2 linked regions of the Arabidopsis thaliana genome follow. The protein of the gene in region 2 interacts with the protein of the main gene of each other region in a pairwise test. Each region holds a gene or a part of one and is shown on either strand. Other genes may lie near its edges.

What was found. The genes of interacting proteins can lie anywhere in the genome.
Region 1: the proteins of TUB9 (region 2) and KIS interact in binary tests that used the Arabidopsis thaliana proteins (3 or more experiments, as listed by UniProt).

The regions. Positions count from the first base shown.
Region 1 is NC_003071.7:12,954,732-12,962,991, reverse strand, and holds KIS (tubulin folding cofactor A (KIESEL)), read right to left. Parts: upstream 4,877-8,260; 5' UTR 4,678-4,876; exon of another isoform or gene 4,657-4,677; intron 3,794-4,656; exon of another isoform or gene 3,751-3,793; intron 3,704-3,750; exon of another isoform or gene 3,650-3,703; 5' UTR 3,516-3,649; intron 3,187-3,515; 5' UTR 3,181-3,186; coding exon 3,028-3,180; intron 2,897-3,027; coding exon 2,810-2,896; intron 2,542-2,809; coding exon 2,440-2,541; 3' UTR 2,224-2,439; downstream 1-2,223. Other genes in the region: ETC2 (Homeodomain-like superfamily protein), read left to right, coding at 1,077-1,161, 1,265-1,352, 1,890-2,055; OFP2 (ovate family protein 2), read right to left, coding at 5,438-6,400; OFP17 (ovate family protein 17), read left to right, coding at 7,909-8,155, 8,243-8,260. UniProt on the Arabidopsis thaliana protein: Tubulin-folding protein involved in the control of the alpha-/beta-tubulin monomer balance. Functions as a reservoir of bound and non-toxic beta-tubulin. Required in the developing embryo.
Region 2 is NC_003075.7:11,178,976-11,186,754, reverse strand, and holds TUB9 (tubulin beta-9 chain), read right to left. Parts: upstream 4,664-7,779; 5' UTR 4,538-4,663; coding exon 4,144-4,537; intron 3,961-4,143; coding exon 3,691-3,960; intron 3,586-3,690; coding exon 2,915-3,585; 3' UTR 2,653-2,914; downstream 1-2,652. Other genes in the region: HEN1 (double-stranded RNA binding protein-related / DsRBD protein-like protein), read left to right, coding at 51-491; MS5 (Tetratricopeptide repeat (TPR)-like superfamily protein), read left to right, coding at 911-1,123, 1,308-1,520, 1,603-1,751, 1,840-1,956, 1,992-2,652; AT4G20880 (ethylene-responsive nuclear protein / ethylene-regulated nuclear protein (ERT2)), read left to right, coding at 6,149-7,366. UniProt on the Arabidopsis thaliana protein: Tubulin is the major constituent of microtubules, a cylinder consisting of laterally associated linear protofilaments composed of alpha- and beta-tubulin heterodimers.

The sequences.
Region 1 (8,260 bases), on a different chromosome or scaffold from region 2:
TTATGATCACATAATGATAAATTAGAGGAATTTCATATTTTTGAATTGGTCTTAGCTAATACGTACCACGTAGGATCAATTTTCTCCTAACCTACTTCTTTAATATATAGTGGGTAAAATCATAAATGGTTCATTCTGATTTCACGCTGAGAAAATGATATGCTCATTATATAAGTACCGATTTCTCTAAGACAACTTTCAATCTGTCAGGAAAAGAAATTGATACGTCCGTTTCTTACAGTTACTGCATTTATTATCACTGAGACGATAATTGAGTTCTGTAGATGCATAAATAGGAATTATCTGTAGGGCATGCATATGTAAAATTAGACACACACAAAAAAATCTAAAGAGAAAAAAGCACAAGAAAACAAAAGTTTTGTTGGATTTTGCTAGTATTATTTACGACCCACAAATCTATATCACAACACGAAATTAACGGTTTATGGACTTTTTTTGTCCAATTTTCACGAAGTCGAAAATTTCGGGGAAAAAATTTCACCTAATGTTATTGGAGAACTGTAAAATAAAATTATAGATTATGTACATCCACATTCCACAGCCATCTCCGTCCGTAAAAATTTCTAAAATATAAAAAGAAAAACTGTGATTTTAAATTAGAACTTGTAGGATTACGTGTTCATAATATTTATTGAGAAGTGTATTTGCATGTGATGTTTTTCACTCGATTTTAATACGTTACTAGGCAAAAAAATAAAACTAGCACGCCATTTTAGTGACTGTTAAAATGTTCTGTTATAGGTCAGAAACAAAATCTGATCAAAATTTATTGTGAGCATTATGAACTTTTTGGAATAGTAAAAAACAAATCGAACGTATCACGAAATTATGTTTTGACGTATTCGATCGGGATATATAAAAACAAAAATGTGAATTATAAATTTAGGAATATATACGTAGAAATTCCAATAAAAAATAAATCACCTATCTCTCTCTCTCTCTTTTTATATAACTATTTTTTTCCCTCACATCTTTTCTATATCTTGCATTCTCCAAACTCTACATTTTCAGTTTCTCTGTAAATTTATCTAATATTCTTCTATTTTCCAGTAGTTATGGATAATACCAACCGTCTTCGTCTTCGTCGCGGTCCCAGTCTTAGGCAAACTAAGTTCACTCGATCCCGATATGACTCTGAAGGTCTCTCTTCAATTCATTACTCTACACTCATCCTCCTAACTCGTCAGCGTTAAATTATCTTCTCATTTAATTTTTGTTTGGATAAAACGAAACAAAAATGCAGAAGTGAGTAGCATCGAATGGGAGTTTATCAGTATGACCGAACAAGAAGAAGATCTCATCTCTCGAATGTACAGACTTGTCGGTAATAGGTAACAAATTCTCTTCTTCTGTCATGTCCGATTCAACATATTTTAAAAACAACTAGTATTTTATAAAATTAAAAAAAAAAAAAAAAAAACTAGTATTTTATAATTTAAAAAAAATTCACATGGCGAGAGTAACAAATCAAAGCTGATAAAGTGTTATGTTATGGTAAACATGATTCTAGAGTAGTTTAGACTTTCGAACGTGTTTCGAGAAAAATGACATGCCAATATTTAAGCAATGACATGAGTATTTTACTTGTATAATTTCAAAAAAAGTTTTATGTTGTTGATAAACTGATAAAATGTATAATTAACAGAAACTAAAATTTCTTCTTTTCTTAAAGTGTGATGATTTTAAAAACAGTGAAAGGATTGAATAATATATTGGCTCTTGAATATTATTGTCTTTATATATATACATTTTAAATTTCATTTCTGCATTATATATGTTGACTCCTGAATTTTGATAAATGTTTTTTCAGAATTTTGTGCTCGTCTATAATTCAAAAACACATTATATGCTTGAATATTGATTGTCAGGTGGGATTTAATAGCAGGAAGAGTCGTAGGAAGAAAGGCAAATGAGATTGAGAGATACTGGATTATGAGAAACTCTGACTATTTTTCTCACAAACGACGACGTCTTAATAATTCTCCCTTTTTTTCTACTTCTCCTCTTAATCTCCAAGAAAATCTAAAATTGTAAAGAAATCAAAATAAAAGCTTTCAATCATAAAAGTAGAACAAATCTTGAATGTCTTCTCATCATATAAATGGTTCAGAAATTGTTGAATCTCTTCGCAAAACAAATTAGAATAAGATCACCTTTTCTAAATCCGTGCTCTTAATCTTCACTTAGTTTACAATCATGGTTGTCAAAGTTATATCAATTATCAATCGTTAAGTTGCAGCTTACAACACATTATAGCAAGTGTGCCATTTCAAAGATATTGAATGAAAGAACAATCACCAAAATGTTAAAGAAAGATATTTTTAGTGTATACAGTCGACAAGCAACCTTAGATATAAAGATTCTTACAGATGATTAACCATTCTCAGAATACAGATTTAACACTCATCGCTGGCTAAATCAGGCATCTTCAGTGGGAAACTGCTTCTCCACATCCGCGACTGTCTTCTTTGCATCTTCGATCTCTGGACCTTCCTTCTCATCCGTCTCTTCCAATTCCGCCTGCAAATTCAGTTTTCATTAGAGACAAAAGACAGAGTACGAATTCACAGTTTCCTCTGTGTCCTTATTCATCATTTTTCCTCAAAGAGAGACTAAGATGGTTTCATGCAGGGGATTAATCCAATCGCTATAGATACATATAAAAGTTATAGTTTGATAATGTACTACTGCTCTTAAACTTCAAATCACCGCTCAGCGTTTCTTATAAACTAATACATAAAGCTAGACCGACGCTTAGCAAGCAATAACAATGGAAAATGTAGTTTACCAAAGTGGACTTGAGGTCAGCCAATGCAGACTCGAGACGTTTGTGGCAATCCGGAATCATCATCCTAGACTCACCCAACACATTTTCCTGCATCACCACATACACAGATTAGGAAAAACCAAGTCTAAACACAGCACAACACAGCATTTCTAGATTCTGACGAACAAAGACGGGCTCCGAATCTTCGAATACAGAGAGATAAACAATGAAATCTGTACCTGTTGTTTAAGGTCGTAGGGATCAGCACCTTTGTCCTTCATATCAGCAGTCTTAGCCGCTTCTCTCTCAACTTCTTTCTCATAAGAGTGAAGCTCTTTCACAATCCTTTTACATGTTGATGTTTTTATCTTCAAGTTCCTTATCGTTGCCATTGGATTCTGAGCAAGTACCAAACACAGGACAACCAAAATTAGGGTTTCTACATCACCAGCGAAACAACTCAAACGCAACGATTCTATAACTAGGTTTTGCGATCTCCTTTAAACTTCGATGTCGAATTTGAAATTGAAATAGGGCGATTAGATCAAGACTAATGTAGGTGATAATTCTACGATTCGTGCATTGCAATAGATCGGGAACATTTTGGAATTCATCGATTTCTTTTACTTGATTCCGATCTACATTGAGATCGACACAAAGCTAGATTCGATTGAAAATTAAAGGAAGATATACTGTGAAATAGAAGAAGTAGGGTTTAGAAACGAACCAGGCGATGATGGGAGAAGAAGGTTGCTTCCGATGAATTTGAGAGAGAGGACGCGGCGTAGAGCGAGGAGGAATCGAAGAACAACAATATACAGTTTCCGATTTCGATTTCTTCTTTTTCCTTTGCTTTCAATTCTGAATTATTAAAAAAAAAACTTAATACTGGATATGCACTCACTTGTGTGCTCGCATTACGACATAAAAATGTAATTTGAGTTTTATTTCATTTCTTTGACAAAAAAAAAAAAAAAAGTTTTATTTCATTTATTTACCCTTTTTTATAGATATAAAATATGTAAATCAAACTTTTATATCGTACAATTTAAGTATATATTTTGTGTTTTATTATGTCAAGTTCATTCATTAATTTTAAATTTGATACAACAAAAGAATAATGTAGAAAGTCAAGTATACAATGATGGATGAATGGATTTACATAATGCTTTTTTGGTACGTAAACGTTAGTATTTGCTAACAAAGTATTAGTTGCGTTATTTTTTTCAGAACAATCAATCCTAATTTTAAATATTTTTATTAAAAACACTATGATACATATTAATTTACATTATAATTTGTTATTGAAAATAAAAACGGAGCAATTTTGTCATAGGTTTTTTTTTTGTCAACCACACAAAAATGGTTTACAAATTACAATGTAACTTTAAAAAATGGTATACAACTACACTAACAACCATAGGTCACAAGAAACCACACTTGCTATTTTTTCTAGATCCAAATTTCACAATTTAAAACCACACAAATTTTCTAGAAGGAATCAATATTTGGAATGCCATTTAATAAAACTTTAACTGTTATTTTTAAATATATTGAATTTAAAACGAACTTTGAATGTTTGTGTAGTTTTAGACGAACAACTAATTTGTCAAGTTAGCTAGGTGATCAAGATAGAAAAAAGTTCGTGTGAATCATATTTTGTTCATGAAAATTTGGTGTAGTTTATGGTTATGAGGTTATCTCATATCTATGTATAAAATTAGAATGTAGAATTTTGTCTGACATACTTGTTTAAAACTTAAAATTATGATACATATATCACCTATTCTTTTTAATTCTTAACTTTATAATCCAAAACTGCAAGATCATTTAGGCCCATTGATTTGAATATTTGTTGCTTATGTTCACTCAGAAGTCAGAAACCATACCATATCACATGTCTTTTGCTGAAACTTCATAAGCCAACTGTGGTAGGGGATGGAATTTGCAACAGTGGTCCTCTTCTTCTTCTTCATGAGTTCATTCTTCCCTTCTTCACAGAAAAAAAAAAACCCTTAAGGATTAAATCTCATCACTGTTTCTTTCTTCTTTAATCACATCTCAGTTTTATGTGTCAGTGGTCCTCTCTCTACCTTCAACGATTATCCAATGTTCTTCATGCATATATATAAACTCCGTACTTGTTGCGTTTTCAAATTGTTCATGTCTCTTCACTGTTGTCTTTTTCTTGTTGCTGTTTACCGCCATTTTCAACTTTGTATTTTCAAAATATTCAAATGATATTGGCGCAATTAATCCATCTTCATATTCTAAGAAATAATCAAATCTTGAAGCATCATCTTTTGTGAGTAGTTTTATATGTTCATAATCATAGAGAAGACAAGAATATGTTTAATTAGTGATAAAAAAATCTGTCTTAATTAACAGTGTTTTCACGCCCTTAGTGATCATGTTTGTATTAAAACGACAATATGATAACAACTTTTATTATTTGCTTACATTTTCCAAAAAGATAAATAAAGAAAACAATACATAAAAAGTGGGATTCAAAGAGAGAATCTCCACAGTTCCATCTAACTTCTTATGAACATCAACAACAAGTCAACAACTACAATTTCACAAGCAGAATGATACTAATTACTTTCACCATTAGGTTAACTACTATTACATTAAGAATTATTTTTTTCTTTACTTTGTTTTTGTAAGTTGAAGCCAGATTTGTTCGAAAACATGGATGATAAGATCATGATACTCCTTTGGATTCAAAGTAAGGTAGCAAGCAAGAAGGTCTTCCAAGTCTTTCGAAGCTCTGATGTTGTTCTCTTCTATCATCTCAATCATTGATTCCCTGAAATCTTTCTTTGGATCAACGGACCGCTTCATCACAGCGAAGCTCTCTAGAACATCTTGTTTGCTCTCTGATCTTCTAGAAGTGCTTCTACGAGTACCTGAGAGTTGAATTCTAGGTGAATTCACTCTTTTGAGGTTTATCCCAGCAGATGGTTTTCTTCCACTAGAAACTTGCCTTTGGTACTTCTTCTCGGCTTTATATTCATTATCATCTTCATCTCTTGAAATTTTCACAGAAAGATGGCTTTTCTGCGGTTTCTTAATCGGCTTGCTTGCAGTACAAGCTTTCTCTACCGAATCAATCACTTTGACCTTCTGCTTGGTGAAAGCTTTGTTCTTTGTGTTGATCTTGAAGTTGGAAAATTCAACGAACTCATCATCATCATCCTCTTCGTAGAAACTATACACAAAAGACTCAGGGGAGGTTTCAATAGCCGGGAACAAGCTGTAAGACGAATCTTGATCGTTGATCTTGCTCTTGTTGAAACTTGCAGATACAAGAAGAGGAGGAGGAGTCAAAGGTTTAAGGGATGGCTTGTAAAGTGTCTTTCTTTTACTCATCTTTTTTGTGTGAAGAGAGTTTCTTGGTGAGTTATGGTGAGGAGGATTGTTAGCTACTAAGCTGTTGGAGAAATAAGAGTGTTGAGGAAGAGAATCTGAGGAAGGTTTCTTCTTGCTACAAGTGTTTGAGGAAGAAGAAGAAGCTTTGTTTTTGGGTTTAGAGTGTTTAGTCACGTCTTTGAGCTTGTGGAACCATGCATTTGGGAGCATCTCTGAAATTCTGAACTTGTAATTCCCCATCTTGTCTCTCTCTTTTTCACAAAAGTTTGTGATATTTCTCTTAAGAAAACTCTGTTTTTGTTTCCTTAGATAAAGAAGAAGGTGAGAAAGCAAAGTTCTCTATGTGACAGATAAAGAAGAAACTGAAGATTAAAATTGGAAACTAGTGGGGCTACTACTAGAAAAAGCTTAAAGAATGTCTTTTATTAGTATCATCATCATTCATCATCAACATCAACTTGAGACATCACATTTACACGCTTGTGCTCACATAATTAATAAATTTATTTTATGGTGAATTTTTAAAATTGGTTGACTAATTGAAATTGTATTTGGTGAAAAACTGAAAATCATAAGAACATAACTTTTATCTAAAATATTATATAATTAAGGGAATAGTACAAAAATAATTATAAAACAGAGAATCAGTTGCTTCTGATTTCTGACAGATTTCTATCATCATTTCATGGAGATTTTACTCTTCATCGAAATGATAAAATAACTGAAAAATGTAATTAGCGAATTATAAAACAGTAGCAAATGTAAACAGTTTTAAAGAATACACAAAAAGGTTGACCAAATGGCAATTACAAAAGAAAAATACAGCTTCTTTTCCTCGAAGTATGCTTTTTGATTGAAAATATTAAAACGTTTCTAAACGGACAAATCAATTTAATAAATAAAAACAAAGTTTTCACAATTCAACTAAAAGTTTAACATATGTGAATCTATCTAGGTTAAAGACTCAAAGTACACGTTATAATGAAGTTCAATAGTTTCATTTCGATGCTTCTTTGAATTTGGTAAAGTGTGAACCTTATCTTAAGTTTTTAGGTAGAAATAATTTAGTATAGTAGCACTTTATGTTATATTAAGGTGATACAGATACACAAATGATGAAATTAAGATAATCAAATATGTTCCATTTTCTCCTCTGAATAAAGTGGGATCAACTTTTGAGTCATAATAATGAATATGAGAAATTTTTTGGTCTACTTTGTCCACTAACGCCGAACATTTTGAGGACACTTTTTTTCTTCTTCTATACATTTCCACTTTCCAGATCAAATGTTTTGGCAACTACTTATCTTTTAACTTCGAGAAGGAAAAAAATGATATTCAAAAATCAAAATAAAACATTTTCCATCCTTACTTTAAATAAGCACAAGTGATTATTCATATTTAAAAAATGGAGATATTTTCACTAGACGTGGGACTGGTTTATGTTCAACAATGTTGACCTACCAATATATCAACGACTTTTTGAGTATACAAAAACAAAACTATCTCATCATATTGGATTTTGTTTATAAGCAAGAGCCACCAAACATTTGCAATAAGAAAACCTTTTCTATTCTCCATTGTTTTTAAAAACTTCATGGGACTCCACCATCATGATCAGTTTCACACCCAAAGACGTGAACTCCACGCAACACAAGCCAATCCTCTAACCTTATACACACCAAAACAAAACAAGAAGCCAAAGAGGATCACAACAACAACATCATCACCAAAAAAGCTTCAAGACAATGAGAGTGAAAGCAACTTTGATTAACTTCAAATCAAAGCTTTCGAAATCATGCAACAGATTTGTCTCTCTCTTCCGCTTCCGAGTTAAAAGACCTGTCTTTATTAGACCTCTTCGTGCCCGTCATGGCAATGTCAAACCTAGACATCAACATCATCATTCCAAGAAGCCAATCTGTTCTTGTCTCTGTTTCCTCAATTCAAGCAAGAACCATAAGATGAGCAACGCCAAACATAGAAGTTCCTCTTGTAAGACAACTTCGCTACAAAATCTGTTTTAACATTGAAATTTTATCAGCTTCTTGATCTCTTTGTTCTCTTATTTTGCCATTGCAGTTAGTGTGAACGATGATG
Region 2 (7,779 bases):
CAATCTGTCTGGTTTCGGCGTTAAATCTATAATCTGTTCCTAATCTGTAGGTTATTGAACACATGGAAGAAGATCAAGCCTGTGAATTTGGGGAAAAAGTTCTGAGCTTGTTCCACCCCAAGCTCCTGATTGTCTCAACACCAAACTACGAGTTCAACACAATTCTCCAGCGGTCTACACCAGAAACCCAAGAAGAAAACAACTCGGAGCCACAGCTTCCAAAGTTCAGGAACCATGACCACAAATTCGAGTGGACAAGAGAACAGTTCAATCAATGGGCATCAAAGCTCGGCAAACGCCATAACTACAGCGTCGAGTTTAGCGGTGTTGGTGGGTCTGGTGAAGTAGAACCCGGATTTGCTTCTCAGATAGCTATTTTTAGACGGGAAGCTTCATCTGTTGAGAATGTTGCAGAAAGCTCAATGCAGCCTTATAAAGTCATCTGGGAGTGGAAGAAAGAAGATGTAGAAAAGAAAAAGACTGATCTTTGACTAGAGTAGTATCTACCAGAGAATATATATATTGCAAGCAATGTGATGACGTGTTCATCTATAAAACTCAAAGCTCGTTTAGTTCTTTTGCCATGAGCTTTTGCAGATTAACCATAAAATCGAACCTTTATGTTTACAAGATCCTTTTGTCTCCAAGTCTACTGGTCCGTTGAAGTTTAAAGATTAGATCAGTAGATTACCCTTTTTGCCCCTACGTTAAAGTTTGTTTATTTAAATACAAGTCCTTGTGATTTTTATCACTTTCTCACTTCTTCAACGACACTGATTCGTTTTCAAAGCATTTGCGTTCTTGATCTTTTTCACGAGGGCGATTTCTGAAGAACACGAGAATTTGAATTCTGGGAAAAGCTTTCTCGAACTTTATCTGAGTAAATTGACAGAGAGAATCGAAAAAGAAAATGTGTCCCTGCGTAGAGCGTCGTGCTCCACCTGGAGTTTACTATACTCCGCCGCCGGCGAGAACAAGTGATCATGTGGCGGCGATGCCGATGACGGAGAGGAGGAGACCACCGTATTCTTGTTCTTCGTCGTCGGAGAGACGTGATCCGTTTCACATTGTTCATAAAGTTCCTTCTGGTGATTCTCCTTACGTCAGAGCCAAACACGCGCAGGTATAATCAATTTTCCCGCGAAAACAAGACAGGGGAATTTTTCTTTTGACCTAATTTAGGAATTCTAGATTCTTCCTCATGTGATAAAATCTCTTAAAAGCTTTTCAAATTTTGAGTGATCTTCTTGAACCTGTCTATGATTGAGGTTTTCTAACAAATGGATATTGTTTATGTGGAAGAACAGTTGATAGATAAAGATCCGAACAGAGCTATATCATTGTTTTGGACTGCAATAAACGCTGGAGATCGAGTTGATAGTGCTTTGAAGGATATGGCCGTTGTAATGAAACAATTAGGTCGATCTGATGAAGGGATTGAAGCTATTAAATCCTTTCGGTATCTCTGTTCTTTCGAGTCTCAAGACTCGATTGATAACTTGCTACTCGAGCTCTACAAGGTAATGCAGCCTCCTTCTTTGTTAATGCAGCAAGTGTTATGGAGTTGTTATAACTTGGAAATGGGTTTTGGTGTTTTTGCAGAAGTCAGGGAGAATTGAAGAAGAAGCTGTTTTACTTGAGCACAAACTGCAAACACTCGAACAAGGAATGGGATTTGGTGGTAGAGTCAGTAGAGCAAAAAGGGTTCAAGGAAAACATGTTATTATGACTATCGAGCAAGAGAAAGCAAGGTGAGAAAGTTTCGGTGTATTCTCATGTTAGCTTGATGAGTGTTTTGTCTCTTGAATTGACGTTTCCATTGTTGTTTGAACATTTTAGGATACTAGGGAACTTGGGCTGGGTTCATTTACAGTTACATAACTATGGAATTGCAGAGCAGCATTACAGGTTTGGTTTTGTTACCAAAATCCCAAATATTGATTACTGTCTGGTCATGTGAGTTTTGCTTATATTCAACTGATTATGAACAGGAGAGCTTTGGGTTTGGAGCGAGACAAAAACAAACTCTGTAACCTTGCAATCTGCTTGATGCGTATGAGTCGAATTCCTGAAGCTAAATCTCTGCTTGATGATGTAAGAGATTCTCCTGCAGAGAGTGAATGCGGAGATGAACCATTCGCAAAGTCTTATGACCGAGCCGTCGAAATGTTAGCAGAAATAGAATCGAAAAAGCCAGAAGCTGATCTTTCGGAGAAGTTCTACGCGGGATGTTCATTTGTGAATAGGATGAAGGAAAATATAGCTCCTGGAACCGCAAACAAGAACTACTCAGATGTTTCTTCGTCTCCAGCATCTGTGAGACCGAACTCTGCAGGTCTATATACACAACCACGCAGATGCAGATTGTTTGAAGAAGAGACGAGAGGTGCTGCTCGAAAGCTACTATTTGGAAAACCACAACCTTTTGGCTCTGAACAGATGAAGATCTTAGAGAGAGGAGAAGAAGAACCCATGAAGCGAAAGAAACTGGACCAGAACATGATTCAATATCTCCATGAATTCGTCAAAGATACAGCAGATGGTCCGAAGAGTGAATCAAAGAAAAGCTGGGCAGATATCGCAGAAGAGGAAGAAGCAGAAGAAGAAGAAGAAGAAAGATTGCAGGGAGAGCTTAAAACCGCAGAGATGTAGGATCTATTTGTACCGGTTATCAAGTTTTTTGGATCATAGAAATTGTATAGGCTTTTGACATTGAAATATTTTCATAGACAAAACAAAGAAGCATAGGCAAATGTGATTACACTCTGGAACAAATCTTAGGTTTGGGAAAGAAATTCAATAACAAAACACACAAAGCACAAAAAGAGAGAATCCCAATTCAGAAAAAGAGGTAAAAGGAAATGAGTGCGACGAACTTACAGCCTTACAAAAGTAATAATCAATCATCTTTTCTTTAGGCTTCTTCTTCTTCTTCGTCCTCCTCGTACTCCTCTTCACCGACTGTAGCATCTTGATATTGCTGATACTCTGCAACAAGATCATTCATGTTACTCTCTGCTTCAGTGAACTCCATCTCGTCCATTCCTTCTCCTGTGTACCAATGAAGGAAAGCCTTTCTCCTGAACATGGCAGTGAACTGTTCACTCACACGCCTGAACATTTCCTGGATTGAAGTTGAGTTTCCAATGAAAGTTGATGCCATTTTCAAACCAGTGGGAGCTATATCGCAGACGCTTGATTTCACGTTATTTGGAATCCATTCAACAAAGTATGAGGAGTTTTTGTTCTGGACGTTCATCATCTGTTCATCAACCTCTTTGGTACTCATCTTTCCACGGAAGACAGCAGAAGCTGTCAAGTAACGACCATGACGAGGATCAGCTGCACACATCATGTTTTTGGCATCCCACATCTGTTGAGTTAGCTCAGGGACACTCAAGGCACTGTATTGTTGAGATCCTCTTGATGTCAAAGGTGCAAAACCAACCATGAAGAAGTGGAGTCGTGGGAAAGGAATAAGGTTCACAGCAAGTTTTCTAAGGTCAGAGTTTAGTTGACCAGGGAACCGAAGACAGCATGTAACACCACTCATTGTAGCTGAGATGAGATGGTTAAGGTCACCAACTAAGATACACCACCACATAAGAAAGAAGAACAATGTCAGGATTTTCAAAACTACAATCACATGAATATTAGAAAACAAGAGAATAAATGGTTTGTAAATCTCACATGTAGGATTAGCAAGCTTCAAGGTACGGAAACAGATATCGTAAAGAGCTTCGTTATCCAAAACCATACATTCATCAGCATTCTCAACGAGCTGGTGAACGGAAAGAGTAGCATTGTATGGCTCAACAACTGTATCAGAGACCTTAGGAGATGGGAAGACCGAAAAGGTCATCATCATACGATCTGGATATTCCTCTCTAATCTTAGAAATAAGAAGTGTTCCCATTCCAGAACCAGTTCCTCCTCCCAAAGAATGACAAACTTGAAAACCTGCTCCACAAATGAATCATCAATCAGAGAATGAAATCAAACGCTAAACAAAGCATCTATGAAGGAGTTTCTAATAGCAGATCTGAATTCGAATGCATACAGGAACAGGAAACGCTAACAAATCAAAACACAAACGAGATTCAGAAAACGAAAACCTAGAAAATGAAAGCGTATCTCTCTCACCTTGAAGACAATCACAGTTCTCAGCTTCCTTCCTCACAACATCAAGCACAGAATCAATCAACTCAGCTCCCTCCGTGTAATGACCTTTCGCCCAGTTATTCCCAGCACCAGACTGACCAAAAACGAAGTTATCAGGCCGGAAAATCTGACCAAACGGCCCAGATCTGAGAGAATCCATAGTTCCAGGCTCCAGATCCATAAGAACAGCACGAGGAACGTATTTGCCTCCGCTAGCTTCGTTAAAATAGACATTGATCCTTTCAAGCTGTAGATCTGTATCGCCACATGACTGACCGGTTTGATCAATACCGTGCTCGCCGCAAATAACTTCCCAGAACTTAGCTCCGATCTGGTTTCCGCACTGACCTCCTTGAATATGAAGAATTTCTCTCATTTTCACTCGGATGTTTTTTTTTTGTTCTTTCTTTCTCTCGGGAATCGCTTTTAGTCTATTTTCTCGAGAAAATGATGAGAAAATTTGGCGACTCCCTCTGTTTATTGTTTATGATTGAGGGGTATAAAAACAAATGAGAGTAGTAATCGGCTATATATAGTTTACCTCCTTTTTTCTCTAGTTTCTCAAATAATTTGCATTTTCGTCCTTAGACTTCTATTGGTTTTTGATATTACCCTGATAGTTTTTCGATTTGGTTTCCTTTATGTGCTGTTATACAGCGAATCAAAAACAAATATCTTTCCTTAGATATTTTTGTTAATTAATTATAAAATATTTACAAAATCACTCGTGAAAGTTATATAAAGGCAAATTGTTTTCTACGCTTTTTTATATTATTGATTAGATCCTTTTTTCTTCGGATATTGAAATTAAAGACCAAAAGATTCGAATTTGCGTCATTAGTGGATTTTCCTTTGTTGTTTTTCACACCAATAATAGGCAATTTTACTTATTTAGCAAATCACCAAATTAATTAGATAAGCTGACAATAGAAATTAGAAGTAAATGGCTTACAGGCAAATAACAACTCATAAATATGACGATTTTAGAATAGTTAATCTGTTGCATAAATATCAATTTTCAAGTGAAAAAATATTACTATATGTCTTGCTTCTAAGTTTATTATATGAATCAACGGTTCAAACAAAAAAAAATCTATCAGGAAGGTTTTTTAGCATCTAACTATAGACACAATTCGTTGATAGGTTTAACAATAGATGAAATTGTTCAAATTATCTTTAGACAAATTTTAAAAATGTAAGGATCTTAAAATAGCTATTACCGGTTTACCATGTTTAGTTCACAAATAATATGGATGCATATTTCGGTTGTTTAGTTTAGTTTAGTTCGATGTAATTTGTTTGCTTACAAAATATAATTGAACAAAAATCTTAAATCTGTTTCGGAATGGTTTGTTTTTTTCACCGGTTTACCAAATTCACTTTTGCTTCGGTATAAATGAATTAAGATTTTGAAGCTACTGTTATACCATACTTGTAGTCATTAATGTTTTTACATATTGGGGAAATTAAGCTGAATAAATTAGTTTTTGTAAAGTTTAAGTCTAAAATAAATAAATTGATCAGCTTTATTAGAATTTTTTTATTAGAATTAATTTAATAATTTCGGTCAGATGGACATAGGTAATATTTTGGTACAGCAGAAAGTGTAAAATCTTAAAAACTGCATAGTACAGTTGTACAAATTTAACAAAAATGGAAATAAATAACAAATTTTTTGTAACAAAAAAAAGGAAGTAAAATAATTGGTTAAGGCACGCGTCGTCCTGCAATGTCTTTTTAGCGGTTTCCTCATCATATCTCTCTCTCTCTCATTTCACTTTCTGCGCAAAGAGGGCAGGAAGAGGTTTCTTCTCCATTTATTGCATTTGTCTCTCCAAAATGTCTAATTAATGGTTTTGATCTTCCAACCAGATCTTCTTCTCTATCTCTTCGACAAACCCTTTTTTCTGGGTTCTTCGGAGAGGTGATTTATCACCAAAAAAAAGATTTTAAAAGTCTAAATCCTTTTTTCTTTCTTTCCTTCAACATGCCTTTACCTTGGAAGAAATCTAAATCTAGTCGGATCTCTAGATTCGTATCAGACTTTCAACAATCTCCTAAACATGGTGGATCTCTCGTTGTTGAAACTGGTTTCCCAACTTCTTTAATCGATCTCTTTGTTAAGAATCGCGATCGTCTCAAAAAACAATCTTCAAAACGTAACAACAAGAACAACAAAGCCCAGACTGAAACGCGTGTTTTGTCTCCACCTCCTCCTCATATGTCTTTGCAGCGTCGTATGTCTCTTCCTTCCAAGCTTGATCCAGCTTTGGTTACAGAGGATTCTCCTTTGGTGAGAAAGATCGAGGAAACTTCTGTTCCGGAGATTATCCATGAAGACGACGGTGGTCATCGCGGTGGAGGAGGAGGAGGGTGTGTTTTGATAGTGGTGGTGTTTAAGGTTTTTATGGTGGCTGTGCTTGCCTTGAGCACGAAGAAGCTCGCCGTGGGGATCACGCTCTCTGCTTTTGCCCTTCTCTTCCTCGAGCTTGCGGTGGCGCGTGTCTTCACGTACTTGAATCTCTGTCCCGACGCGCAGATTCGGATAGATTCTTTGATCGATAAGCTCATAGGGAAGCGACATAAAGAGAAGCTAGAAGAAGAAGAAGAATCAACATCGACGCATGACAGAAGAAACAATGTCTACTTTGAAATCATCGAAGAACCTAGAGAGGAGATTAGAGTCACTCCTCAATCGGATTCGTCGTCATTGGAGAAGGCGAAACTTGTGGTGGATGAGAAGAAAGAAATGCAGACGATAAGAGATGTTATGTTTAAGACTGAGAAAAGCAAAAGCGCGAAGCTGAAATCAAAGATTGTGAAGAAGATTGTGCCAAAGAAGCTAAGGAGTTATAAGAAGAAGAAGAAGATGAAGAACAAAGAAAAAGAAGAAGAAGAAGTTGAACTTGAAACTGAAGAAGAAGGGTCTATGACAGAAGTTTCTAGCTTGTATTCAGATGAGAGAATCGGGAGTGAAATCTCTGAGAGGGATGATTTGAGTTCGAATCCGCCATTTTTAGAGAGTTGTACAGAGGTTGAAGAAGAAGAAGAGACTGGACCAAAAGAGGATCTAACGAAAGTGATTGGTTTGATAGTGATTGTTCTTGTTGGATTGCTGTGTGGGAAAGTCTTTGCTATTGGTCTGACACTCTCTTGGTGTCTGATTCTCAGAGTTTTCTGTTGCAAATCTCAAACCAGTTTCTGAAACAGAGGAAAACATGATTCAGACTTTGGGTTCTTTTTTTTTTGTGGAAGTCCGTGGCAGTGGTGGGCCTTAGGGATCGCCGTTAGTTGTTGACGGTGACGGTGTTGACGGTAGAGAGACGGTGACGGGAGTGTTGTTGTTGGGGGTGGTTGGCAGTTCGAAGCTAGACAATTGGTTTGCTTATGAAACTGTGTAAATTTGTTTTGTTGTTAACAGAGATATATATCGTGTTATTATGATGGTCAAAGAGTCAAAGTTGTTGTTATGAAGAACCAAAAAAAACTGAGTAATATATTCTTAAAAATGGTCATTGTTGATAATGAAAGGCAGAGAGAGCGCAATAACGTTTGTGTCGGCCAAAATAGCACTAACTTGTGGAATAGTTTTTGTTTGTGGCGCGATATTGACGGAGA